Xenopus tropicalis: one gene and its partners. The protein of the gene in region 4 purifies or fractionates together with the protein of the main gene of each other region. This does not show direct contact. Links are inferred from orthologs where the notes say so. Each region holds a gene or a part of one and is shown on either strand. Other genes may lie near its edges.

The links. Proteins that work in one complex are often made in the same cells at the same time.
Region 1: the proteins of rpa2 (region 4) and cdk7 purify together in Homo sapiens (affinity purification with mass spectrometry; 3 studies listed by BioGRID and IntAct, with this or other methods). This does not show direct contact. The link is inferred for Xenopus tropicalis from reciprocal best matches to the Homo sapiens genes RPA2 and CDK7.
Region 2: the proteins of rpa2 (region 4) and cdc45 purify together in Homo sapiens (affinity purification with western blotting; 3 studies listed by BioGRID and IntAct, with this or other methods). This does not show direct contact. The link is inferred for Xenopus tropicalis from reciprocal best matches to the Homo sapiens genes RPA2 and CDC45.
Region 3: the proteins of rpa2 (region 4) and hltf purify together in Homo sapiens (affinity purification with mass spectrometry, with the first as the bait; 3 studies listed by BioGRID). This does not show direct contact. The link is inferred for Xenopus tropicalis from reciprocal best matches to the Homo sapiens genes RPA2 and HLTF.

What each region holds. Positions count from the first base shown.
Region 1 is NC_030677.2:186,232,069-186,238,413, reverse strand, and holds the start of cdk7 (cyclin-dependent kinase 7), read left to right. Parts: upstream 1-2,113; 5' UTR 2,114-2,160; coding exon 2,161-2,244; intron 2,245-4,433; coding exon 4,434-4,493; intron 4,494-5,135; coding exon 5,136-5,169; intron 5,170-5,397; coding exon 5,398-5,465; intron 5,466-6,345. UniProt on the Homo sapiens protein: Serine/threonine kinase involved in cell cycle control and in RNA polymerase II-mediated RNA transcription. Cyclin-dependent kinases (CDKs) are activated by the binding to a cyclin and mediate the progression through the cell cycle.
Region 2 is NC_030677.2:154,229,641-154,236,001, reverse strand, and holds the start of cdc45 (cell division control protein 45 homolog), read right to left. Parts: upstream 4,233-6,361; 5' UTR 4,119-4,232; coding exon 4,068-4,118; intron 3,985-4,067; coding exon 3,925-3,984; intron 681-3,924; coding exon 588-680; intron 1-587. Other genes in the region: ufd1 (ubiquitin fusion degradation protein 1 homolog), read left to right, coding at 4,465-4,467, 4,839-4,971, 6,083-6,115. UniProt on the Homo sapiens protein: Required for initiation of chromosomal DNA replication. Core component of CDC45-MCM-GINS (CMG) helicase, the molecular machine that unwinds template DNA during replication, and around which the replisome is built.
Region 3 is NC_030681.2:122,179,329-122,185,240, reverse strand, and holds part of hltf (helicase-like transcription factor), read left to right. Parts: intron 1-547; coding exon 548-640; intron 641-863; coding exon 864-961; intron 962-2,932; coding exon 2,933-3,076; intron 3,077-3,423; coding exon 3,424-3,562; intron 3,563-5,588; coding exon 5,589-5,724; intron 5,725-5,912. UniProt on the Homo sapiens protein: Has both helicase and E3 ubiquitin ligase activities. Possesses intrinsic ATP-dependent nucleosome-remodeling activity; This activity may be required for transcriptional activation or repression of specific target promoters.
Region 4 is NC_030678.2:79,454,222-79,460,715, forward strand, and holds the start of rpa2 (replication protein A 32 kDa subunit), read left to right. Parts: upstream 1-2,023; 5' UTR 2,024-2,050; coding exon 2,051-2,066; intron 2,067-2,800; coding exon 2,801-2,907; intron 2,908-3,271; coding exon 3,272-3,373; intron 3,374-5,005; coding exon 5,006-5,119; intron 5,120-5,239; coding exon 5,240-5,314; intron 5,315-5,510; coding exon 5,511-5,624; intron 5,625-6,494. UniProt on the Homo sapiens protein: As part of the heterotrimeric replication protein A complex (RPA/RP-A), binds and stabilizes single-stranded DNA intermediates that form during DNA replication or upon DNA stress.

The DNA of each region.
Region 1 (6,345 bases), on a different chromosome or scaffold from region 4:
GACAATCTCATAGCCTATTAAAGGGGAAGGAAAGGCAAAGTCACTTGGGGGTGCCAAAATGTTAGGCACCCCCAAGTGACTTTAACCGCTTACCTTGTACCCCGGGCTGGTGCCCCTGTTAGGAGAAAATAGCACCAGCCCGGGGTAGCTGGAGCGCAGCGCTTCCTCCTTCCGCCTTCCACTTCCTAAACTGCCGGTGGCCGGGCATGCACAGTAGAGCGAAAAAGCCGACTTAAATGTTTAAGTTCGGCTTTTCACTCTACTGCGCATGCGCGCGCAGCGAAGCCGGAAGGAGGAAGCGCCGGCAGCTACCCCGGGCTGGTGCTGTTTTCTCCTGACAGCGGCACCAGCCCGGGGTAAAAGGTAGGCGGTTAAAGTCACTTGGGGGTGCCTAACATTTTGGCACCCCCAAGTGACTTTACCTTTCTTTTTCCTTTAATAGGAGTTGTAGTTAACTGTTGGGGATACCTCCATTTTAGTTTGTTTTATTCCATGTGGGAATAAAACCCAAGTAGACCAATTCCCTTGTTAAGGTACATTCGGTCATTGGATATATGGTGGTCTTAATCATTTTATTTGGTAGGTAAATATAGAACCGTGATTAATATGAAGGATTTTTATATTCCTGGGAAATCCTAATTTAGATGTACCCTGTATCTATACTATGCGGTATTTAAATTAAGGTGTGGAATCTCATTGTATATAAGGTGTATTTTAAATGTTTGGGAGAGTAGAAAGACCCACATCATTTTAATATAACTGCTCTATGTAGAACGTAACTGTCTTTGTATCTATACACCTGTTACCTGAGAAAATAAAGTGATCTGTGATTTTAATGCATATAGAGTACTTGTAAATTTGTGAGAAGCGCCAACTCTAAGTTAATTATAATGTGGAACACAACAGGAGCAAATTATTTCATTAGATTTATTTTATCATATAATTACAAATAACTATATATTTTACTAAGTCATATATATATATCATTATCCTTTATTCATAATGTATACATATCCGGCATCACTAACAGAGAATTCTCTGTTCTCCAGTTTCCTTCCTGCACTTCAAAACATAGAGAAGATTAAGTGGCTATTGAAAAAATGAGTCGCTGCCCCAGTGGAGCTTACACTCTAAAGGTCCATATCACACACACACTACAGTCAATTATTGTGTGGTGCTCTATGCACGCCGCAAAGCCCCCTAGATGCGGAATAAAAAAAATTGTCAGCTCTGGAGATAATGATCCAGTCCTGTTTTTTTGGACCAAATTCAGTTTCACACTAAGGGACGTATTTATTATGTGTAAAACTAACTCGCTGAGTAAAAACCTGTGTAAAATAAATGGAAAAGATCGCCGTCTGAACGCCAGATATTACGCCGTTATTTTCCATAAGTTCTGGTGAAAAAAAAAAAACGCGTAAAAAATGACGCCGTTTTTTCCCGCCTGTTTTACACAGCGAAGTGTGGTGAATTTTCTCGCTGTTTTTTACACAGCATAATAAATATGCCCCTAGATGATCATTTGAATTAAGGTCTCAAAAGGCCTGGAGTGGAATCATTATCTCCCTCATGTCATGTCTTATAAAGCTTTTGTTTCTGGCCTTAGCATATTATATATCCCAAAATGTGGCTGAGGCTTTTCTATTCAGGGGCTGTAACTTGGCTGCACAATGGGCACCTCACAGAATGAGCTCCTGGCAAAGCATTTCATGTCTCCATTATTTATTGCGGGAGAGTTTTAGCACTCAGTATTATCCGAGAAGTGCCCTTATGGCGTGCTCACAGCATTCACCTTTCCAACTTGATTTTAGCGCCGGGACCAAAGGAGAAAGGGCTAAGAACATACAGTGTTGCTTGGCTACAGCGCCTAAGGGCGGGGGGCTGCGTCCCAGCCAGGGGCGGCTCATTAGTACAGAATAAACCGTTACCCTCGAGAGAAGGAATTCTTCTGAGGAACAACCGGTATTTGCCACTGACACCATACAATTCCCGCCTCTCCCCTGTAGCAGGGATCTCCATAGCAACCGGTAGTTGTAGGAAACCAGATGCCTCTTACGTCACATTCGCGCTCCCGTCGCGCCGGTAGCAGCATGCAGTGGGCGTGGCCAAAGTGTTAAATGGCGATGTGACAGTGACCTGTGGGAAAGGGTTGCGCGGAGAATGGAGGGGATAATGGCGAGAGGGGTGGATGTGCGCTCCCGTTCCAAGCAGTATGAGAAGCTGGAGTTCCTGGGGGAAGGCCAGGTGGGTGCTGCTGCGTGGGGTTCCGGGTCCCTGTGGGACACGTGGGGCTTTACTACTGCGCAGAGATGCTTAGTGGCACTGTATGTAATGTCGTGTAATTGGATACTGCTTTACGGCTTTTATCCTGGCATTACATAGTGCTGTACCTGTAGTATCCTGGCATTACATAGTGCTGTACCTGTAGTATCCTGGCATTACATAGTGCTGTACCTGTAGTATCCTGGCATTACATAGTGCTGTACCTGTAGTATCCTGGCATTACATAGTGCTGTAGCTGTAGTATCCTGGCATTACATAGTGCTGTACCTGTAGTGTCCTGGCATTACATAGTGCTGTACCTGTAGTATCCTGGCATTACATAGTGCTGTACCTGTAGTATCCTGGCATTACATAGTGCTGTACCTGTAGTATCCTGGCATTACATAGTGCTGTACCTGTAGTATCCTGGCATTACATAGTGCTGTAGCTGTAGTATCCTGGCATTACATAGTGCTGTACCTGTAGTATCCTGGCATTACATAGTGCTGTACCTGTAGTATCCTGGCATTACATAGTGCTGTACCTGTAGTATCCTGGGGTTACATAGTGCTGTACCTGTAGTATCCTGGCATTACATAGTGCTGTAGCTGTAGTATCCTGGCATTACATAGTGCTGTACCTGTAGTATCCTGGCATGACATAGTGCTGTACCTGTAGTATCCTGGCATTACATAGTGCTGTACCTGTAGTATCCTGGCATTACATAGTGCTGTACCTGTAGTATCCTGGCATTACATAGTGCTGTAGCTGTAGTATCCTGGCATTACATAGTGCTGTACCTGTAGTATCCTGGCATTACATAGTGCTGTACCTGTAGTATCCTGGCATTACATAGTGCTGTAGCTGTAGTATCCTGGCATTACATAGTGCTGTAGCTGTAGTATCCTGGCATTACATAGTGCTGTACCTGTAGTATCCTGGCATTACATAGTGCTGTAGCTGTAGTATCCTGGCATTACATAGTGCTGTACCTGTAGTATCCTGGCATTACATAGTGCTGTAGCTGTAGTATCCTGGCATTACATAGTGCTGTACCTGTAGTATCCTGGGGTTACATAGTGCTGTACCTGTAGTATCCTGGCATTACATAGTGCTGTACCTGTAGTATCCTGGCATTACATAGTGCTGTACCTGTAGTATCCTGGCATTACATAGTGCTGTACCTGTAGTATCCTGGCATTACATAGTGCTGTACCTGTAGTATCCTGGCATTACATAGTGCTGTACCTGTAGTACCCTGGCATTACATAGTGCTGTACCTGTAGTATCCTGGCATTACATAGTGCTGTAGCTGTAGTATCCTGGCATTACATAGTGCTGTAGGTGTAGTATCCTGGCATTACATAGTGCTGTAGCTGTAGTATCCTGGCATTACATAGTGCTGTACCTGTAGTGTCCTGGCATTACATAGTGCTGTACCTGTAGTATCCTGGCATTACATAGTGCTGTACCTGTAGTATCCTGGCATTACATAGTGCTGTACCTGTAGTATCCTGGCATTACATAGTGCTGTAGCTGTAGTATCCTGGCATTACATAGTGCTGTACCTGTAGTATCCTGGGGTTACATAGTGCTGTACCTGTAGTATCCTTGCATTACATAGTGCTGTACCTGTAGTATCCTGGCATTACATAGTGCTGTACCTGTAGTATCCTGGCATTACATAGTGCTGTACCTGTAGTGTCCTGGCATTACATAGTGCTGTACCTGTAGTGTCCTGGCATTACATAGTGCTGTACCTGTAGTGTCCTGACATTACATAGTGCTGTACCTGTAGTATCCTGGCATTACATAGTGCTGTACCTGTAGTATCCTGGCATTACATAGTGCTGTACCTGTAGTGTCCTGGCATTACATAGTGCTTTTAGTCTGGCATTACATAGTGCTGTACCTGTAGTATCCTGACATTACATAGTGCTTTTAGTCTGGCATTACATAGTGCTGTACTTGTACTTTTTTGGCACAATTGTTATGTTTGGGTTTTATCTTCCCTTAAACTCTGGCAGGTTTCATAAATGGCAGTGACAGTAAAAGCTGCTCAGGCAGTCCCGTCAGTGTTGGCTCTGCTGTGACAGAGTAGAGAGGTGTATATAGGAACTGACAGGAAACTGTTTCCCACTCATATTGTTCTGAAATGTTCTGTTTCTCAGTTTGCCACAGTTTATAAAGCAAGAGACAAGAATACAGATAGAATTGTGGCCATTAAAAAGGTATGTTTCTTACTGCTTTCTTATTCACAGCTAAATGCTTTATTAATGTCATGTACCCTGCATGTTCTGCACATTATATGTTACATGTTCAATGTCGCAAACAAATTGTGCTTTTGCCATGCCCACACTGTAAATAAGGGTAAAAGGGTAAAAGACTATAATATTGGAGACTGATAGCATCTTGTAACGTGTATAAATGCAGCAGCCATCTTGTATAATAGGAGGGTTGTACAGGGCAGCATAGAAACACCCACATTAAATCTCAGGTGGCCCTACCCAACAGTAATTATACACATCCAGAATAATGTCAACAATAGCGAACAACACCGAAGGAGGAAATGGTACAAGAGAGAGGGTATATACTATTACAACACTAACACAACAGCAATAGGCTGCAGTATTGTGTTCATTAGTATATTATCAGATGATAATACATACCCATCCCCTGTATCTCTGTATCAAATGTTTGTGTGTGTGTGTATATGTGTATATATATATATATTGTTTGTTTGTTTGTTTTAGTAAAGCAGCAATCTGTTTTTTTTTAATTCACGTTTATAGGCATAGGCAAGACTGAACCAGAAAACATAGAATCTATGGCTCTAAGCTCTATTAAGGCACATGTGGTTTTTCTTGTTGCAGATTAAACTGGGACATAGAGCAGAGGCTAAAGATGGTAAGTGCTTATTAGCCAGCTACATATATTTCTACCATAAGAAAAGTAAATTACTAGGGGTAGATCTAGAATGTCAATATGGCGGCACTTGAACCAGTGTTGCCCTGGTTTTATTTTTATTGGTGCCCTTTTTTTTGCTTCATGGTTTTTTCATGTTTTTTTTTTTCTCATGGTTTAATTTTTGTGAATAGATTACAAGTCTTCTTATGACGTTTGTTTTTATTTCAGGTATAAACAGAACAGCACTCAGAGAGATAAAGCTGCTGCAGGAGTTAAGCCATCCTAATATCATTGGCGTGAGTAAAGTTTAAATAATGTTAACTCGGCACTAGAGCCAGGGCCGCCATCAGAAATCACGGGGCCCCTCACAAAAAAAATTTCTGGGCCCCCCTCCCACCAGTACAAAGGACTCACAGACATGAGCCATTGGTAGCCAGCAGGCCCCCCCTAATACATTGGTAGCCAGCAGGGCCCCCCCTAATACATTGGTAGCCAGCAGGGCCCCCCCTAATACATTGGTAGCCAGCAGGGCCCCCCTAATACATTGGTAGCCAGCAGGGCCCCCCTAATACATTGGTAGGCAGCAGGGCCCCCCCTAGTACATTGGTAGCCAGCAGTGCCCCACTAGTACATTGGTAGCCAACAGTGCCCCCCTTCCCCCAGTACATTTGTAGCCAGCTGTGCCCCCCTTCCCCCAGTACATTGGTAGCCAGCGTCTTGTTCAGCTCCTCCGGTGTCTTATGCGGCAGCGGCTCCTTCGCGGTGGCTTCGGCAAGGTCCTTCCTGGATGACACCGCAGCGCTTCTGAGAGCCGACAGAAGACAGGCCCTTTTATAAGGTTGCGCCCCGTGCGTACTGACGTACATGTACGCACGGGGCGCAACCAATAGGATTACCCGCTGGCCACCAATGACAGGGCCCGGAATTGATTAAAGGGGAAAACTTTAGCACGGCCGGGCCCCCTTTTAAAGTTAAAATCATCCGGGCCCGGGACGATTGTACCCCCTGTGCCCCCCTGATGGCGGCCCTGACTAGAGCAATTCTATTTACATTGTATTAGATTGAAAGAACTACTGACTGTATTGATGTTGCTTATCATAATTTTGGGCTTATCATGCACAAAGCAGTTTCTGCTGTGAATGTATGTGATATCCGCTGTCTTAGCAGGGGTTTTTA
Region 2 (6,361 bases), on a different chromosome or scaffold from region 4:
TAACAGCTAAAATTCCAAACTAGAGAGATGCAGAACAAATTAAACATTCTAAAAAAAGCAAACCAATTGCAAATTCTCAGAATCTCCCTCTCTACATCATACTAAAAGTGAATTCAAAGGTGAACAACCCCTTTAAGAACTAGTACTAGAAAGCTTTTCTTCACTCCTTTTAGCTACATTCCTGTAGCTAAGCCATCCCATTTTAAGCAATTAGATCCCCTACATAATGCATGAGATGAATGATAATGCTTGAAATAAACATCATTGTATAACTGCATTCAGGGAATTTTTATTTGAACGTGCCACTGGCCATTTAAGAAGGAGCATCAAAGCTAAACCACAGTTACTGATATTATATTTATAAACTTCTGCCGTAAGTTGAATGATGCTGAAAGCGGATGTACAGCTAGTTGCCCCTGCAACTAAAATCACCTCTGGCCTTATCTGGAAAGAAGGTGATGGGTAATAAAATTGCAGACTGTATAACAGATATAAGATGCAGCCAAACTAGACACCTAGCACTGGTGAGGTTACATATGCTATAAAATGAGAATTGGAAAAGAAACAGTACAAGAATGACAGATTACCTGTTCTTTATGTTCAAGAAACAATGTTTCAAGTTCCTGCCAGCCAGAGACTGGGACCAAGGTATACTGTACATGATCACACTGAAATAATGCCTGTGCACAAAAAAGATTAACACTGGTTAAGCTATCAGAGAAGACATTTAATACAAAAATCATATCTCTGTTTACATGAGGGGGTTTCAGCGTCATTGTGCAGCCTTATATAGTTAATTATTTTTAGCAGCTATCCAATTAAATTAAATGATATTGCACGCATCATCTGTCTAAAAGTTTTGTTCTTGTCCCTAGAGTTTAAACAATGCAGCAAGTCACCGTTCCTCCAGCTAAGACACCAACTCCCACAATGCATTGTTGCATTACACTATGGGAACTGATGCTTTGTCTGTAAGGAGATCAAGATTTTATTTAATTTATTTTTATTTTAAGTTCTTATAAGTCAGAAAAAAATATAAAAAGGCATATTGCTTCAATATTAAAATGTACATATACTTTTAAAATGGAGTTCCCATTTAAGGCTTTGCTTACACCGGATTTGTTTTGATTGTTAAAACAGTCCAACATAGCAGATGAGGGAGGGGGCAATTTAGTTGTATACAGATTCTTAAAGGACATGTAAAGCCTACATTTGCCTACAATATATATCAGGTGGGCACGTCTTCCCCCACCCAAATGGCATAATTTGCACTGCATATATCCCCCTCTGTTTATCAGCACAATTACATTTTTTCTAAAGCAAATAGCAGCTTTCACCCAGTGGCCATTTTTCCTGATACATAATCAAATACATTTATATCTGCAAACATACACACACAGACCCGAATTCAGCATACATTTCATAAAGAATACAGGCTCACACAGGCAGAACTGTCTTCGATAAAAGTTCTGCTTTGTTTAAGCTGAGCTCAGGACAGGAGGTTAGAAGAAAAACATTGAAGCAGACAGCTAGACCTGAGCTTCTATGGGACCCAGAAATGCCATCTCTTCATTGGCTGCTAGACTGGAGAGCGTGTTTGGTAATCGGAGCTTAGAACAACTGAGCATGCCCACAAGCCAGAAGTCAAAGCAAATCTCTGAGGGAGGGGGCTGAGTGGGTTACAGGAGGAGAAGGAAATCTAAGTGATTAATGGGATGCTGCAGCCTTTCTATTAACCTCTGGACAACCAGTGTGACAGGTATTAAAAAAAGATTTCTAAGAGGCTGTTTGTGCGTGGGGTTTACATGTCCTTTAAAGAAAACTCCTAAAACATCAATTAATGTCCATGCATCCAGAATACTTTAAACATTTGTGACTAGTCGTATAATACAAATGATCTTGCACTTGTTTGCCCTTTACTAGTACACCCAGGGTGTATCAAATGATGGGTTTACTTGGTGGGTAATTTGGCCAGCATACACTTAAAATGAGAAAAAAAAAACAAAACTACTTTTTAGACATTTTTAAATTTCTTAAAAATGCTAAATAGTCTACCAGTTCACTAAGAAAAATCAACAGTTTTCAGCCTATATTTAAAGTGCTAAGACTACATATTTTATGCTTTTTTGGTGCTAGATTTTTAAATGGCAGGTACCTTTAATGCATTAAGGAGAGGCATGCACCAAATCCAGGATTTTGGATTATCCTAGCACTGTTTGCAGATTTTTTAATTCCCCTAAACTAAATGGTTATTAAAATCACATGACTTTAAAGAGCTGGTTTGGCCCAAAAAATGGCTCACTACTTCAAGTGCAGGTTATCACTGTCCAGCAGCTGGGCTCTAGAAACCTGGTCTTCATCTTTGATGGGATAGTGTTTCTAGAGCACACTGCCCGATGTTATGATATCAGCCAAGGTGATAGGGCAGTTTGAGTTAAAGGAACAGTAACACCAAAAAATGAAAGTGTATAAAAGTAACTAAAATATAATGTGCTGCTGCCCTGCACTGGTAAAAGTTGTGTGTTTACTTTAGAAAGACTACTATAATTTATATAAATAAGCTGCTATGTAGCCATGGGGGCAGCCATTCAAAGGAGAAAAGGCACAGGCACATAGCAGATAACAGATAAAACACTATTGTATTCTACAGAACTTATCTGTTATCTGCTATGTAACCTGTGCCTTTTCTCCTTTTTTACAGCTTGAATGGCTGCCCCCATGACTACACAGCAGCTTATTATATAAATTATAGTAGTGTTACTGTAGCAAACACACCAGTTTTACCATTGCAGGGCAACAGTGCATTATATTTTTATTACTTTAAAGCTCTTTCATTTTTTAGTGTTACTGTTCCTTTAATAAAGGGGGAAGAATTGGAAAATTTAAGACCAAGCACATTACCACTCTGGACAATTGAATAGAACAAATATTTGTTCACAATTGTTGCAATATTTTGTAAATGTGCTAATAAGGGTTTGGACTAAACTTCTAAGGTGCATTTGACCAAAACCAAAAAATATGACTACGTAGTTATGGTAAAAATAAAAGTTAAATCATAGTATCCACCATTACACAGATGCACTATTTATATGTAGCAAATGCAAAACTTTCACAAGAATTTTACACTATAAAATGTTTTCATTTGGGCAAAAGGCTGGAGATGGAGGAATAATAGAACCAACTTGGGGCAAGTGTTCAGATTTCAGAAATGAAATATTTATCCTTCTTTCTAGGTTTTTCTATCATTGGTAACTTATACTCACTAGTACACTTTACATTGTTTTAGTAACAGTGTTTTAGTAGCAGACCCTAAATGGTTCAAGAGCTGCAACACTGTTGGTACCATGCACATTATCTGGTGGGAAATAAAATAAGTTGTATTTACCGGTACATGGGTCCTCTCCGACTTCATCCCTGATATTTACCTGGCCAACATATTAGGCAGTGTAGAAAAAAAAAAAAACCCATTGGGAAGAGCACCACATACGTATTGATGTGGACCTCTCCCAACAGCCTGCATTAGCAGCCATTATGATCCAATCATTGGTCGAAGGCCTAACAATCAGTGTGGTGCTGTGACATATGGGACAAAGATCCACTCATTTGGCAAACTAGGTGGTATGACCAGCTTTATATGTGGGGATGAAGTGTTTATACTGTCGGATCTGTGCAAGGGGCACTGTGAGTTTAATGGAAACCAGATATGCAGAAATCTCCCATTGTCAATTTTATGCAAAATCTTTTTTTTTAATTACATTTTCTCTGTAATAAAACAGTATCTTGTACTTTACAGCAACTAAGCTGCATAAAAACTTGTTAGTGATAAAGCAATCCTATTGGCTTTATTTCATAGTTACATGTTGTTTTAAGTAGGTATGGTGATTTAAATTGTTGAAAAAAAACTTAATTTTGGTTTGTTCTTACCTGAAGTACCTTACAGGCGCAGAGAGCATCAACATCAGGTGCAACAAGGAGAAGAACGCGCTGGAAATCAGAGAAGAGACAGTGAGTGGTGTCATATCATTTATTTGGGAAAAAAAATCCTTTATCCCGGTTACCCTTCTCACCTCGGTAACGATCACGTCGTAAAACTCTTTACGGAGATCACTCACAAACATCTCGACAAGTTGACGGCTGCCCTCGAAACTGGCGCCAAAATCCCTTAGAGCAGCGGTGGCCAATCAAACAGCCCGTTTCGTCGTGACATACACCAACCCCGCCCAATCCGTGAAGGCTCAGCGCAAGATAAACCCCGCCTCTGCGTCCTACAGTTTAGCAGCCAATTGGTCGCTTCCCGATATCTGACAGCGGTCTATTAACTTCCGCTTTTAGCGTGTTGCTTCTTGGGATTCGTAGTTTCTCTTGTTCCGATCGTCTGATTCGCAATTATATTTACTTCCGGGAAGGACGGTGACTAAGATAGTGTTAGGTCCGCCGGGATAATAAGAGAAAGCCGGTAACAAAATGGTAAGATCTGTCTTCCACATTTGTGATAGCGTCATGTCATGTATACCTATATATCATCATAAAACACCATTTACCTGCCAGGTTTTATGGAGGCTGAACAGTGACTGAGGGGTTAGTTTTTTACTGCTATATGCATCTTGGATGGGAAAGAAGAGTTGTTGTATGTAAGATTTTTTTTACATGAAAAATAACAGTATGATTTTAATCTGAATGTATGTTTCCGTAATAGTTTTTGTTTTTACAGATCACTTAAATAACACTAAAAGGGTAAAAACAAAGTAAAAAAGAATTTCTCAAATTATCACGATGTATCTTTATGTTGCTTAATGAAATAACAGCTCCAAAATCTCACTAATTCCATTCTCTTTTAGTTTTCTTTCAACATGTTTGACCACCCCATACCCCGGGTTTTCCAAAACCGCTTCTCTACTCAGTACCGTTGCTACTCCGTTTCCATGTTGGCGGGTCCCAATGACCGATCTGATGTGGAGAAAGGAGGGAAAAGTAAGTAATATGTGACTAAGAGCTGTACTGTAATTTTTTCAAGATAAAATTATTTAAACATAGGTAATAATATCTAATAATCATAAACTAGACCACTTTTTTGTGGGCCACAAGCAGACTGGGATTTAATATATGCCCTTGCATTTCAAGGCCCCTGCTAGTTCACTAAATAGTGCTTGTCTATGGCATCTAACAGCAGTCCTTTTGGAATTTGCCAGAATCCACACATTGCCAGTCCAGGCCTGGTCACAGGTCATGAGATCTCTGTTATCATCATGTACCATCATGCAAACTGTACAGGATGTGGAAAGTGGACACAATGGTAATTCTTGGCCACACATATCCAGTACAGGTATGTGATCCGTTATCCGGAAACCTGTTATCCAGAAAGCTCTAAATTACGGCAAGGCCCATAGGCTGCATTTTAATTAAATAATTAAAATTTAAGAAAATAATTTCCTTTTTCTCTGTAATAAATCAGTACTTGTACTAAATCCCAACTAGGATATAATCAAACCTTATTAGAGACAAAACAATCCTATTTGGTATATTATGTTTAAATACATTTTGAGCAGACTTAAGGCATGAAGATCCAAATTACACAATGACCGCTTGTACAGGAAAAACCCCTGGTCCTGAGCATTAAGTATTATAGGTTCTATATTATATAAGAGGTTTTCAATCAATTGTTCTGTAGAAAGAATGAATGGCATTTGACCCATGTTTATTATGCTGTGTAAAAACAGCACCATTGTACTCTGCTGTGTAGATGTGTGCCTTTTTACCCTATTCTTTTGGTTGTGCCATATACTTCATATAACTTGTAGTAGTGTTTCTGAAGCAAACATACACTTTTTACCAGTGCAGGGTAATAGTATATTATATTTACATACAGATAAAACCTTTTCTTGTTTTTTGTTTTACTGGTCCTTTCATGAGTGAGGAAAAACAAAAATTCTAGTCAAAGGAGATAATTCAGTCTTTAAAAAGTGGAGCACTTTCAGTGATTCTTTATTCATTTTTGAAAAAGGGTCACTGGAAGTAATGTGTATAGTGTATGGTGTGTCACAGACTATACTACTGTAACTTTTCTTGTTCTTCTTTTTTTCAGTTATCATGCCTCCATCTGCTTTAGATCAACTCAGTAAGTATGCTCTGCCTGGATTACTTGATTAAATCTTAGGCTAACGCCACATGTAGCATATGGAGCGTATTTTCGGCAAGCCAAAAAACACTTGCTAAGAATACGCACCATACGCTAAAAAATGCCCCTACCTGTGCCTGCACCCTAATGAATGAAATACGATACGGTGCAGGAACATGTAGCCGAAAATATGAAGTCTTGGAGCGTATTCCATTCATTCGGGTGCAGGCACAAGGTAGGCCAAAT
Region 3 (5,912 bases), on a different chromosome or scaffold from region 4:
CAGCAGTTCTGTTAAAAGTTCTTTGTATTCCGTGTTTTCATTGGCTGCTAAAATTGTTTTCAAAAGTTCCTTGTTTAACCTCTTTCTACTGATGAGGCTTTTTCTCCATCTCCTGTCAGCACTTCATGTTTACTGTGCTCTTTGTGACTATACTCAAAGCATACACTGTTAAACATATTTATACTTCTATTTGTACAGTGTTGGCAGCAGCTCTCTCCACGCTCAAACAAATGCTGCATGCAGATTGGACTGACATTTTAATTTCTTGGCTCAGAGTTACACAGTTTAGATCATTAAACCAGTACATGCCTTCCAGTCATTTTAAAGTTCATTTATAAAGAATCCAGCTTCAGATAAACCCCCTTTATTACACGGCAGATCAGATAATCAGCCCTTAGCTAAAATGTAATAAATCTAGAGCAGAGGGAAATGCTTGACCTTAAACTTTTTGTAGGTATAAAAAATTTAGCATCATACAAAAGATTATTAGTAGTAAGTAAATTCACTAGATATTGTTTTGTGTATACAAAATTATTTTGCAATACAGCTCCTGCCGAATGCACTCTCCATGATGATGATCTGTTTGCTAATGCTCTTTTTGGGTTACCAACTGCAGTGCGGAAAAAGAAAAACAAAAAAGGTACAGCTTGTATTCTAAATCCATATTTGATGAGGGAACATATTATGAGATGTCGGTACCAGTAAAGGATTCCATATTTGTATAATATATGACCTCATTGTAACCTTTTTCCCAGTATACTTCAATGTGTGACTATTCGATTTCATAGTTAGCCTCATTATCAGTGCTAATGCTAAGACTTCCATACAGGTTTTATTCAGCTAATACGTTTTCCCTTTCTTAGGGGTCACAGTTTCACAGTCCATTTCAAAGGCTGGACCAGAAGGACAACGAAGAACAACACTTATAATATGTCCATTATCTGTTCTAAGTAACTGGATTGTATGTATTTCCTATATTCCATGGCTTTATATATATATATATATATATACTAAATATATATACTAAAGGATAGGTTTCTGTCCTTGTATGAAATATCTACTGTTAAATTTGTTAGGCTAGTGCCACACCATAAAATAAACACAGGCTGAGAATCTGGCCCTATGCCCCTAACTGTGTCACTGTGTCAGGCCAGATGCATGCACACAGAGCAGAGCTTCATCATGGAAGCGTGGTGAGTATACATTTCTCTTACAGTCATCTGTGGGACACAGGGACCATGGGGTATAGCATCTACCAGCAGGAGGCAGGACACGAGAAGAGGAAGAAGAGGATGAAACCCCTCCTCCCTGCTGCTATACCCCCCTTCACTTTTTGCCTTAACCAATTTTTTTCTAGTGTCCCACAAGGAGACAAGATCAACTTCACTCATCTGAATTTTCTTCGGCCAGATTCAATCTGGCAACAGGGGTTGACCCAGAGGTCTCCAACAGGATCCGATGCGTTCCACAGATGCATCTCATTGGACAAGATCATCAGCCAGGCGACCGCGGGAAAGAGCACTCTCCTCCCACAACCAAATAATCATACCTCTTTTCGTTTGTGGACATTTCTTTTGCTAACGATCTTCAAAGGCATCATCCTCTAGGGATTATTTATCCCAAAACTCCTTCAAGCCTCGCTTTGAAGGCCGTCCCAAATACTCCTGGCAGAGCAGATAAGACCTCAACAGCATGACTATCCTCATGGAGATCTTGCTGCGGTCGGAGGCAGACTTCTCCTCTTTCGAGACCCGTGGCTTAGTTTTACCACAGACCCATGAGTACACAAAATAGTCACCTCAGGTTATCGTCTCGAATTTCCTTCAAAACCGCAAAATCGGTTCTTCATGTCACGACTTCCTCCGGATCCCCACAAACAAAATGCACTCCTTTTGATTGTCCATGACATATTAGACAAAAGAGTGATTATTCCACTACCCCCAAGCGACAAATTTCGAGTTTTCTACAACAACCTCTTCCTTGTCCCAAAAAAGGAAGAATCCTTTCGCCCCGTCCTGGACTTGAAGAAACTCAATGCGTTCATTCTATTCCCTCGCTTCAAGATGGAGTCTCTACGATCTGTTATCGCAGCCATGAACCCAAAAGAGTTTCTAGTGGCCCTGGACATCAAAGATGCCTACCTCTATGTGCCCATTTTTCCTCCCCACTGGGCAACGCACCCCCCCCCCCCGAAAGCGGATTCTCCAGATTTCTCTCTGCCTACATGTATATAGTTAATAGTTGATTGTTAATCTTGATCATTCTTTGTTAACAAAACTGGTTAAGGCAGGAAGTGAAGGGGGGTATAGCAGAAGGGAGGAGGGGTTTTGTCCTCTTCTTCCTCTTCTAGTTTCATGCCTCCTGCTGGTACATGCTATAACCCATGGTCCCTGTGTGCCACAGACTTCCAGAGATAAAAGGATTTTAACGGTGAGTATCACAAAATCTCCTTTTTGGCTCCAAAATCCACTTCATTGGCCTGCACCTGGGCCAACGCAGTGGCCAGCCATTGTAAACCTAGCACTCCAAACGTCAGGGTCCTGTAGGTTATTTCATCTGGCTCCTGTTTGATGGTATTTAGACAGCCGTGCAAAATGTGTTTTTTTTCTGTTTCCTTAGAGTTGGTTGGGTTAAAATTCACATAAACCACTTGGAAAACGAAGGCATGTTTATAGCACTCTTCAAGGCCTGAAAATGGGGGGTCATTTAACCTAATGCACAGCTGTAAATACAGTTTGAGCAGCTGCAGGTCATATAAGAAATCATTGCAATAAGTGTCTCTCCAGCTATCTATCTAGCAATCTATCTAACTATAGATTGCTGCATAAATCTCTGATGGTAACTGATAACCCACCCTATCCTTGTCTCTACTTCTAAGATGTTTGATTCCTTTTTTGCCATTAATATTCATTAACTCCTGTTATCGTTCTAGGATCAGTTTGAACAGCATATAAAACCAGAGGTGCATTTGAATATTTATATTTATTACGGTCCTGAACGTACAAAAGACCCTAAAGTCCTTTCAGACCAAGATGTTGTAGTAACCACATACAGTGTCCTAAGTTCTGATTATGGAGTAAGTATGTTGCCACTTTCCCTGGGTTTGTGTATAAAGTCTGGCCAGACAAAACCTATCAGTGTTTGGGAGAGTAGAAACTTTAGTGAGAAATTACTTTTGTACCTTTATGCTTGTAAAGAAGCCCTATGCCTAAGGCACCTCATTAAACACTATATTATGAATTACACTGATGCTCTCAGAAACAATTTTTGCATCTCCTCCCCTTAACTTTAAATCTTTTGTTAATAAGAAAGCTAGCCATTGTTCAGCTCAGCTTGGCTAGCCCACATTTGCCTAAAACCCTTAAGATTTTTCTACATTTGCATTTAAAATTCATTAAACAGGGATTTATTTATTTCTTTTAGAGCAGGAGTGAGAGCCCTCTGCACAAAGTGAAATGGCTGCGAGTGGTGTTGGATGAAGGGCACACTATACGAAATCCAAATGCACAGCAAACTCAAGCTGTACTTAGCCTGGAAGCCCAGAGAAGATGGATATTAACTGGTAACATAAATATGATATTCAGCAATTACAAACATTTTATTCTCAGACCCAATATATTAAACATCTTTGTTAAACACATGGAGAATGGTAGCTTGGAAATGGCTAGTAACAGTTATCTTTGCTTCTGTGGGTGATGTAGCATATTTGTCCTGTAGTAAACAATGATAGCTTCTGATAGTCAGCTGTAAGTACTACTGATCTCTCTGTGAGTCCGTTGTCAGAGTAGAGGTGGCCATAGGTGGGCAGATTCTAGCTGCCTACATCTGTCCTTTAGACCGATTGGGCAGCTTATCTGCCCATGTAGAGGTACAAACAATGGGCCTGCCTGACCAACATCTGGCTTGAAATCGGGGAGATCTCGATCGGGCAGGTTTGATTAGGCCATTTGGGTCTCAACACTATTTTATTGAGTGATTGTGCATTTGCACCTGCGGTGTATGTTTAATCCTTGACTGACAACTGGCAAATTGTGTTCCAGCTGGAACAGTTTTATTTACATTAGATTATCAGTCAATTTGTGCTTTTGAAGACATGTTCTGTGACATGATCAGTACTATTTAGAAGCTGCAGAGAGTTGGGGGACTAATATTGGTGCAACATTCCATTTTCTAACTGTTCCAGTCTCACCTTGCTCATGTTACCCTGACTGCAAAGGTACACCGGCCAATTTCAGCTGCTGATATCGGTCCTTTAGACCGATAACGGCAGCTAATCTATTGGCCTCCCCAACCGACATCTGGCCTGAAATGGGGCAGATCCCGATCGGGCAGATTTAATTTTTCCCTCTGATCAGGGACCACATTGGCTTGTTGATGTGTTTCCCAGATGTATGCCTATGCCCGCTATTTCATTACGGATCAGGGACCATATGGGCTTGTTGATGTGGTCCTCGAACCGGCGGCGCCTATGCCTGCCCTAGGGCCAAACGAACGAATTAGCCCAATATCGTCCACCCATTATTAGGAGACGATCCGCTCACTTGGCAACCTCAGCAATTAGCCCAATATTGTCCACCTGTTATTGGGAGACAATCTGCTCGCTTGGCGACCTCGCCACCTTAAGGCAGGGCTGCACCATAGGGCTATTCAGTAGGTTTTTCCCCCTAGCCTGTGCAGTCAGGCATATACAGCCTAGGGTGCGTGTGCTAGATTATATTTTCAACCCCTTCTTCAGTGTTTTGTCCTGGTACATCTTAAAGGAACAGTAACACCAAAAAATGAACGTGTATTAAAATAATTAATATATTATATACTATTTCTCTGCACTGGTAAAAGTTGTGTGTTTTCTTCATAAACACTACTGCAGTTTATATAAATACCTTGCTGTGTAGCCATGGGGGCAGCCATTTAAATTGAAAAAAGGAGAAAAGGCACAGGTTACTAAGCAGATAACAGATAAGTAGCAGATTCCACAGTTTATCTGGTATCTTCTTATGTAACCTGTGCCTTTTCTCCTTTTTTCAATTTAAATGGCTGCCCCCATGGCTACACAGCAGCTATTTCTATTAACTATAGTAGACTTTCTGAAGCTAACATGCAACTTTTACCAGTGCAGGGCAAAAGTACATTATATTTTAATTATTTTAAAACATTTTTATTTTTTAGTGTTACTGTTCCTTTAACAGCAGACGCCACCCTCTCTTGTTCCAATAGAAACATTTCTGGGACATTTTGACCATTGCCCTTTTGGGCAATTACTATGTAAGCTACAGGGAGTCAGGCTTAGCTTGCTGGCAAAGTAACTGTCTTTCATAAAAAAATAAGATGACTGCTTTGAGCAGTAAATGGAAACTCTCATTCTGAATGTATGGAGCACTGATACTATATTTTACCATTGACAGTGAAATTTGTTCACAGAGAATATTCATGGTTGTTAGCTAGCTGTGTAATGCTACAGGTATAAATAGAAGAGAATGTTACACAAAGGTATGCATATCTTCTGTCATTTTGCACAGAATAGCTTCTTTGATTTCTTATATTAAATAACATTGCCAATAGGCATAATGCATTTTTATTTTAATAAACAGGCACTCCTATTCAGAACTCTTTGAAGGACTTGTGGTCTCTAATATGTTTCTTAAAACTAAAACCTTTCACCGATAGAGAGTGGTGGCACCGGACAATCCAGCGACCTGTTACCACTGGAGAAGACGGTGGACTTTGGTAGGACAACTAATTTTTGCAATATAATTACCATTAGTTAGTTGGGGAAGGCAAAGTGGTATTATTAAGATGTTTGCCTCCACAGTGTATTAGCCCTTACCCATTTGCAAATATAAAGTCTTATAATATGTATTCAGAGCATTTGTTCCAGTGCATTATTGCACCCATTACTTTGGTAAATAGCAAGA
Region 4 (6,494 bases):
TGATGGGTAGTGTATACCTGCAATACAGTCTACAGTTTTATGTTTTTATATTACTGACTGTGGCTTCAGTTTGTTCACTCTGTCCGTCATGCTTCTCTATCACACATTTATCACACATTTTATGTATATATATATATATATATAACTTTATTACAAGGGTACGCGGCGCTGTACAATCTTACAATATACACAATTACACACAGGGAGGACAAGTGATCCATACCCCCCAACTGTCCCGCTTTTCGCGGGACAGTCCCGCTTTTTATGGCGCGTCCCGCTGTCCCGGGTAGTTCCATGAATGTCCCGCATTGCGGGACATTCATGGAACTATCCGGCACAGCAGGATGCCCTTGCTGTAGCCGGATGTTCTTGCTTCGTCGGCTGCTTTTTATAATGTTGCGCCTGTGGGTGTGACGTCATTACGCACGGGGCGCAACCTTATAAAAGGACCTGTCGCGCAGCGCAAGGAGAGGCATAACGAAGCCACAGACAAAGCGCCTATGGGAGGTACTGTGTATAGGGGGCTACTGTGTATTGGGGGCTACTGTGTATTGGGGCTACTGTGTATTGGGGGCTACTGTGTATTGGGGCTACTGTGTATGGGGGGCTACTGTGTATTGGGGGCTACTGTGTATAGGGGGCTACTGTGTATTGGGGGCTACTGTGTATTGGGGCTACTGTGTATGGGGGGCTACTGTGTATTGGGGCTACTGTGTATGGGGGGCTACTGTGTATTGGGGGCTACTGTGTATGGGGGCTACTGTGTATTGGGGGCTACTGTGTATTGGGGGCTACTGTGTATTGGGGCTACTGTGTATGGAGGGGCACTGTGTATTGGGGGCTACTGTGTATGGGGGGCTACTGTGTATGGGGGGCTACTGTGTATGGGGGGCTACTGTGTATTGGGGCTACTGTGTATGGGGGGCTACTGTGTATTGGGGGCTACTGTGTATTGGGGGCTACTGTGTATGGGGGCTACTGTGTATGGGGGCTACTGTGTATGGGGGGCTACTGTGTATGGGGGGGCTACTGTGTATGGGGGGGCTACTGTGTATGGGGGGGCTACTGTGTATGGGGGTACTGTGTATGGGGGGGCTACTGTGTATGGGGGTACTGTATATGGGGGGGCAAAACTGGTACTTAGTTATAACTCACTGCCTTCTCTCTATACTTTTTTTCCTTAGGTCATTCAGTATGAGGGTATAGCACATTTTCGTCTGCACTGCCATTTTATCTGTATAAAAGGGGTATTTTTTTTAAATGGGGTGTGGTAATTGGGGCATGGCCACAAAAGGGGGCGTGATCAAAAAATTTGCCAAATCTTTTTGTCCCTCTTTTCATTTTTCAAATGTTGGGAGGTATGGTGATCTAATAAATAAATATATATAAATGCACAGGGAGTAAGTGCCATGTGGTATGAGACACAGTAGTAATGAGGTCCCTGCCCCGTAGAGCTTACAATCTAAGTTTATGGTACATTTATGGTTTAAAATGTTTTTTTTTTTCATTTGCCTGATGTTGTTTGGTTATTTTACTATAGCTTTATGCATTTAAAGCTCTATCAAATAAATTTTCGGGCAGCTTTAATATTAATAACTAACTTAAGCTGTTGCTCTCCAGATCCAGACAGATGATACACATACCCACAAGATAAAAAAAAAAGTCACCAAATGCGTGAAAAAAGAATAACAACATCCTTCACAAGCTTCAAAAAACACTATTATGGTTATTTATGACAGCAAATACGAAGACATTTTTAGTTAAAAAGAAGCCTTAGCCCAAATCAAAAACGGCTATTACTGTAAACGTTACAATGCGCCGCCAGTAGTAAACATGGACGGCTCTCCTGTGACGTCGTTTCCCGCGACAACATAGGCAGCTTCCAATATGGTCTCAGCCACCGAATTACGGAACTGCAGCAGTGGTTTTATTGGCTGAGACGGCTGAGCATATCGTGGCCTTCAGATTTGATTGGCTGGGCTGTGGAGCGCGCCAAGAGTCCTTGTCAGGAACAGCGGAGATAGAGAAGTAGCAAAAGAGCTGCAGAAACATGTGGAACAACCACGGTAAGGGTATTAGACAAGTAAAATAGAATGTGCAATATATATATTGCGCTATTTTTGTGTTTAATTGCGTGGTGAAAGGAACAAGGCGTTGTAGTAATACTTCGTCAGGAATGATGAAACATATTCGGTGCGCAACGAAATCTGGTTAGCGTAGTGATGCTGCAACACTCAGTTAAATGTATTAGTTCTAGTGGCGAAGCATATTACTGCGCCATGAGTCCTCTTCTGAACGAAATAAAAATACAAAGGTGGGTATACACGTATATGGCTCCTTGTGTAGGAACTGTACATTAGGCCCATGGGCCGACAGGTTGGAGGACTCTAGGATTTGGCCCATTTATAGTTGTGGCACTATCGTTGCAGTAAAAAAAAAAAGTTATAGAGGGGTATTCAAAAATAATATTTTAAATATTGTATTTACCTTTTAACTCCTATAAGGAAAACATATTTTACCTTTATCCAGTTAGGATTTTAGCTGTCTGTATGGCTAAACATTAGGCATGATTATGTATTATTTGGATTACTTTCACTTATTTGTAAGCCTAGGATAATAGGGAGGGGCGTACTATAATTGTTATCCTTTATTTTGTAGCACTGGCATATTCCACAGAGATTATACATCAGACCCTGCTGCAGTGGAACATACAATACATGTTTTTATTACATTAACATATATTCTTCGAAATTTTATAAGGACCCAATTAACCTGCTTTTTTTTTTTTTTTTTGTCGCAGGTGGATTTGATGGTGGGTATGGTGGCTCTGGCATGGGAGGAGGAGGTTATATGCAGTCTCCAGGAGGCTTTGGGTCTCCTGCACCCACTCAGGGAGAGAAAAAATCGGTATGTTGCCTATATTATAATATCAAATTGCACATTTGAATATCCTTTCTAAATTTCTCTAGGGCCTGATTTAATAGATGCTGATATGATTTAGCTTTAAAAGTACTACTGATAACATGACAACATTACTGTAATGGGATCTCTTATTTATAAATCCAGAAAAAATATTGAAATGCTATATTCCATAGGGTCCTCTTAAATAATTGTTTTAATTTTCTTTATTTATTTTCCATAGAACTTTTGGTTCAATTCCATTTCTTTTTGCTAGTATTTAGAAAGTAGGCTTAATTGATGTTGATATATTTGCAAGATATAAGCTGAGGTTTTCTTGGAAAATATATATTGTACTGTAATTATTTTTCAGAGGTCCAGGTCACAGCAAATAGTGCCATGTACTGTGTCACAGCTACTGTCAGCAACACAAAATGACGAAATGTTTCGGATAGGAGAGGCTGAACTTTCACAGGTTAGTATCACTCACTGTCTCGTATGTATGTATATATGTGTATGTATGTATGTATGTATGTATGTTTGTGTGCGTGTATAATAGCAAACTAACTGAACAGTTATGTCTCATGTCTCCTCTTCTTCAAGTTGCTGGCTATCAAACAGGTTAGAGAGCTATAAAGGAGGAAGTTGTGTTCTGTCTATTATGGTAGTCATCTATTCACTCCAGCCTTTATAGCAGTGTTCCCCAACCAGTGGTTAGTGAGCAACATGTTGCTCACCAACCCCTTGGTTGTTGCTCCTCATTGGCCTCAAAGTAGGTGCTCATTTTTGAATTTCTGGCTTGGAGGCAAGTTTTAATTGCATAAAACTCAGTGTTAAGTGAAACAGAGCCTTCTACAGACTGCTAGCCAGCAAAGGGGCTACCAAATAGCAAATTATAGCTTTTGTACCCCCAAGAACTTTTTCTATGCTTGTGTTGCTTCCCAAAACTCTTTTACCATTTGAATGTGGCTCACAGGTATAAAAGGTTGGGGATCCCTGCTCTATAGATTAGGTTTTTGGCTAACTATATTCTGCATAGCTTTTCTGTTTTATTATATTTATAGCCAGTTTTATTTTTGCACTGAACTGTTCCCTTAAGATCAGCACACATTTTTTTGTCTACTTATTGCTGTGTGTAGGCAAAATCCCTTCACCCTTATCTGAATGTGCCTGTTATAGTAAGAGATCAAATTGTCATCTTTGATAAGGAAAACCATAGGTTACTTGGAATGCAGTTTATGTTTATATCCTAAATCTTAGGTACAGGTATGGGACCTGTTATCCAGAATGCTCAGGACCTGGGGTTTTCTAGATCTTTCCGTAATTTGGATCTCCATACCTTAAGTCCGCTAAAAAATTATTTAAACATTAAATAAACCCAGTAGGGTTTTTTTTGCCAGTAAGGGTTAATTATACCTTAGTTGGGATCAAGTACAAGGTGTTGTTTAATTATTACAGAGGAAAAAAAGTTTTTTTAAAATGTGAATTATTTCCTTAAAAGGAAGTCTATGGGAGATGGCCTTTCGATAATTCGAAACTTTCTGAATAACTGGTCCTATGCCTGTATTTCTTTTTACATCTCACTCGAGCCACTGTTTTGCAGTGGTCTTTGTGCTACCTCAGAGAACAGATAATGCAGGTTCTAACTATAACAGGAAGAGGTGTTTTGGTAAAAGACACAGCTCTTCCCCTTCATTGACTGATGTGACTTAGAACACGTGCATGCCACTGTTTTTTTGTGTGACCCCCAGTGTATCATATGAGTTGAGGTGCTTTATAAGGAATTATCCATGTGTTGTGTGTTGAATAGTTGTATAGGTATAGTTCCCCTTTAATATATGGTCCTGTTATGCATAACCCCTTAATATTATTTCGCTTGAAAGAAGAATAGTGATCCAATAAATACCTTTTTACTAGTCGGCTATTGGGAAGATTGTGCATTTAGGTGCCTATATACCCTTGGTGGAATGTGAACTTGAAATACTTTGTTGTTGTTCAAAGAGGAACCAACAAGTAATGTAATGTGCACCATATCTCTTGAAATAGATATGCCTATGCTAATATTTTTTTTATGAAAGTATGTTTTTCTTCTTTTTTTTTTTTTTAGGTTACTATAGTCGGCATTGTCAGGCATGCAGAAAAAGCTCCGACAAATATTCTTTACAAAGTGGATGATATGACTGCAGCACCAATGGATGTCAGACAGTGGGTGGACACAGATGTAAGATATTACTGTCCTGTTTCAACTAGATTTCTTTATATTTAAACCATGGACAATTATATAACTGCTTCTAGTTTTACCACTGTAAAATGTGCAAAGTCCCAATCATTTTCTTTGCAGGAGGCAAGCTGTGAAAATATGGTGGTCCCTCCAGGGAGTTATGTAAAAGTAGCTGGTCACCTTCGTTCCTTCCAGGTAATTATTTTAATGAAGCTTTTACTTCTGGAACAACATTATTTTTGTTAGAAAATTTTCTTCATGAAAGCACTAGCTGTCCTAGTGAAAATACTGTAGCAAGGCAGAGCAGAGAATAAAATTTATATTTAGCCAAAAAAGAAAATGGAGGACTGGAAAATGTCACTGAGTATTTAAAATTTGTATATCCTTCCAGAACAAGAAAAGTGTTGTTGCATTTAAGATTGCTCCTGTTGATGATATGAACGAGTTTGTTTCTCATATGCTGGAAGTTGTTCACGCTCACATGACCATGAATTCCCAGGGAGCGGTAAGTTAAAATTAACTCTTTACCCTGCTCTTAAACAGCTGGTTAATAGGCAGAATTCAAAGTAATGATCAGGGAAGCATACTTGTAATTTCTAGTCATCTTTTATTTTTGTTTATAATTTGCTGGTTCTCTGGTAAAATCAAAGAAAGGTAAAAACTAAGTAAGCTTTAACAGAAAGGTCTATGTAAATACACTTCTCTGAAAAAAGATTAGTTGTGTCTGTAATTCCTGTGCCAGAGACACGCAGCTTTCTGTTCTCTGCTCTTTCCTGCTCCCCCTCCCTCAAGAATGCTAAGAACTCACTCCCCCCCCTTAGGAATGTGGATATGAGCCAATCAGCAGGACGCTAACTTACTAAGTTAGTCTAAGTCTAACTAACTGAGCATGTACAGTTTGTTCTGCATGTCTGGGCAGGAGTGAGCCATTATGGGAATCTTTTTTACACAGCTCAGCGTTTTTTCTTCCGGTTTGGCTTCAGATCTTCTGAACAGGTGAAATATGGGGAAACTTAAAGGAACTGTAACACAATTTTTTAAAATTCAAAATATCTTTTTAAAATACTTTTATTAGAAAATATATCATGGAAAAATTACAAAAGTATAAGTGGTTTTCTTGAAAATTAACCTTTCCATTAATTTATTGAACTCAGGCAGCAGATCTCCTCCAACTCTCGTAGCAAGCTTCCGGGCAGCACACCCCTCCTCCCCCTCCCTGTGCAGGCTTACATAGCGATCCGTTGTTACAGGCAGGCAGTCTTAGCTGTCAAGTAGAAACGCTCCGTCCCCCATCCCTCTCCCTACACAATCCCCAACAAAACCATAAATCACTCCAAAAAATGACCCCGAAGACTCTAAAGAATGCGGCAAGATA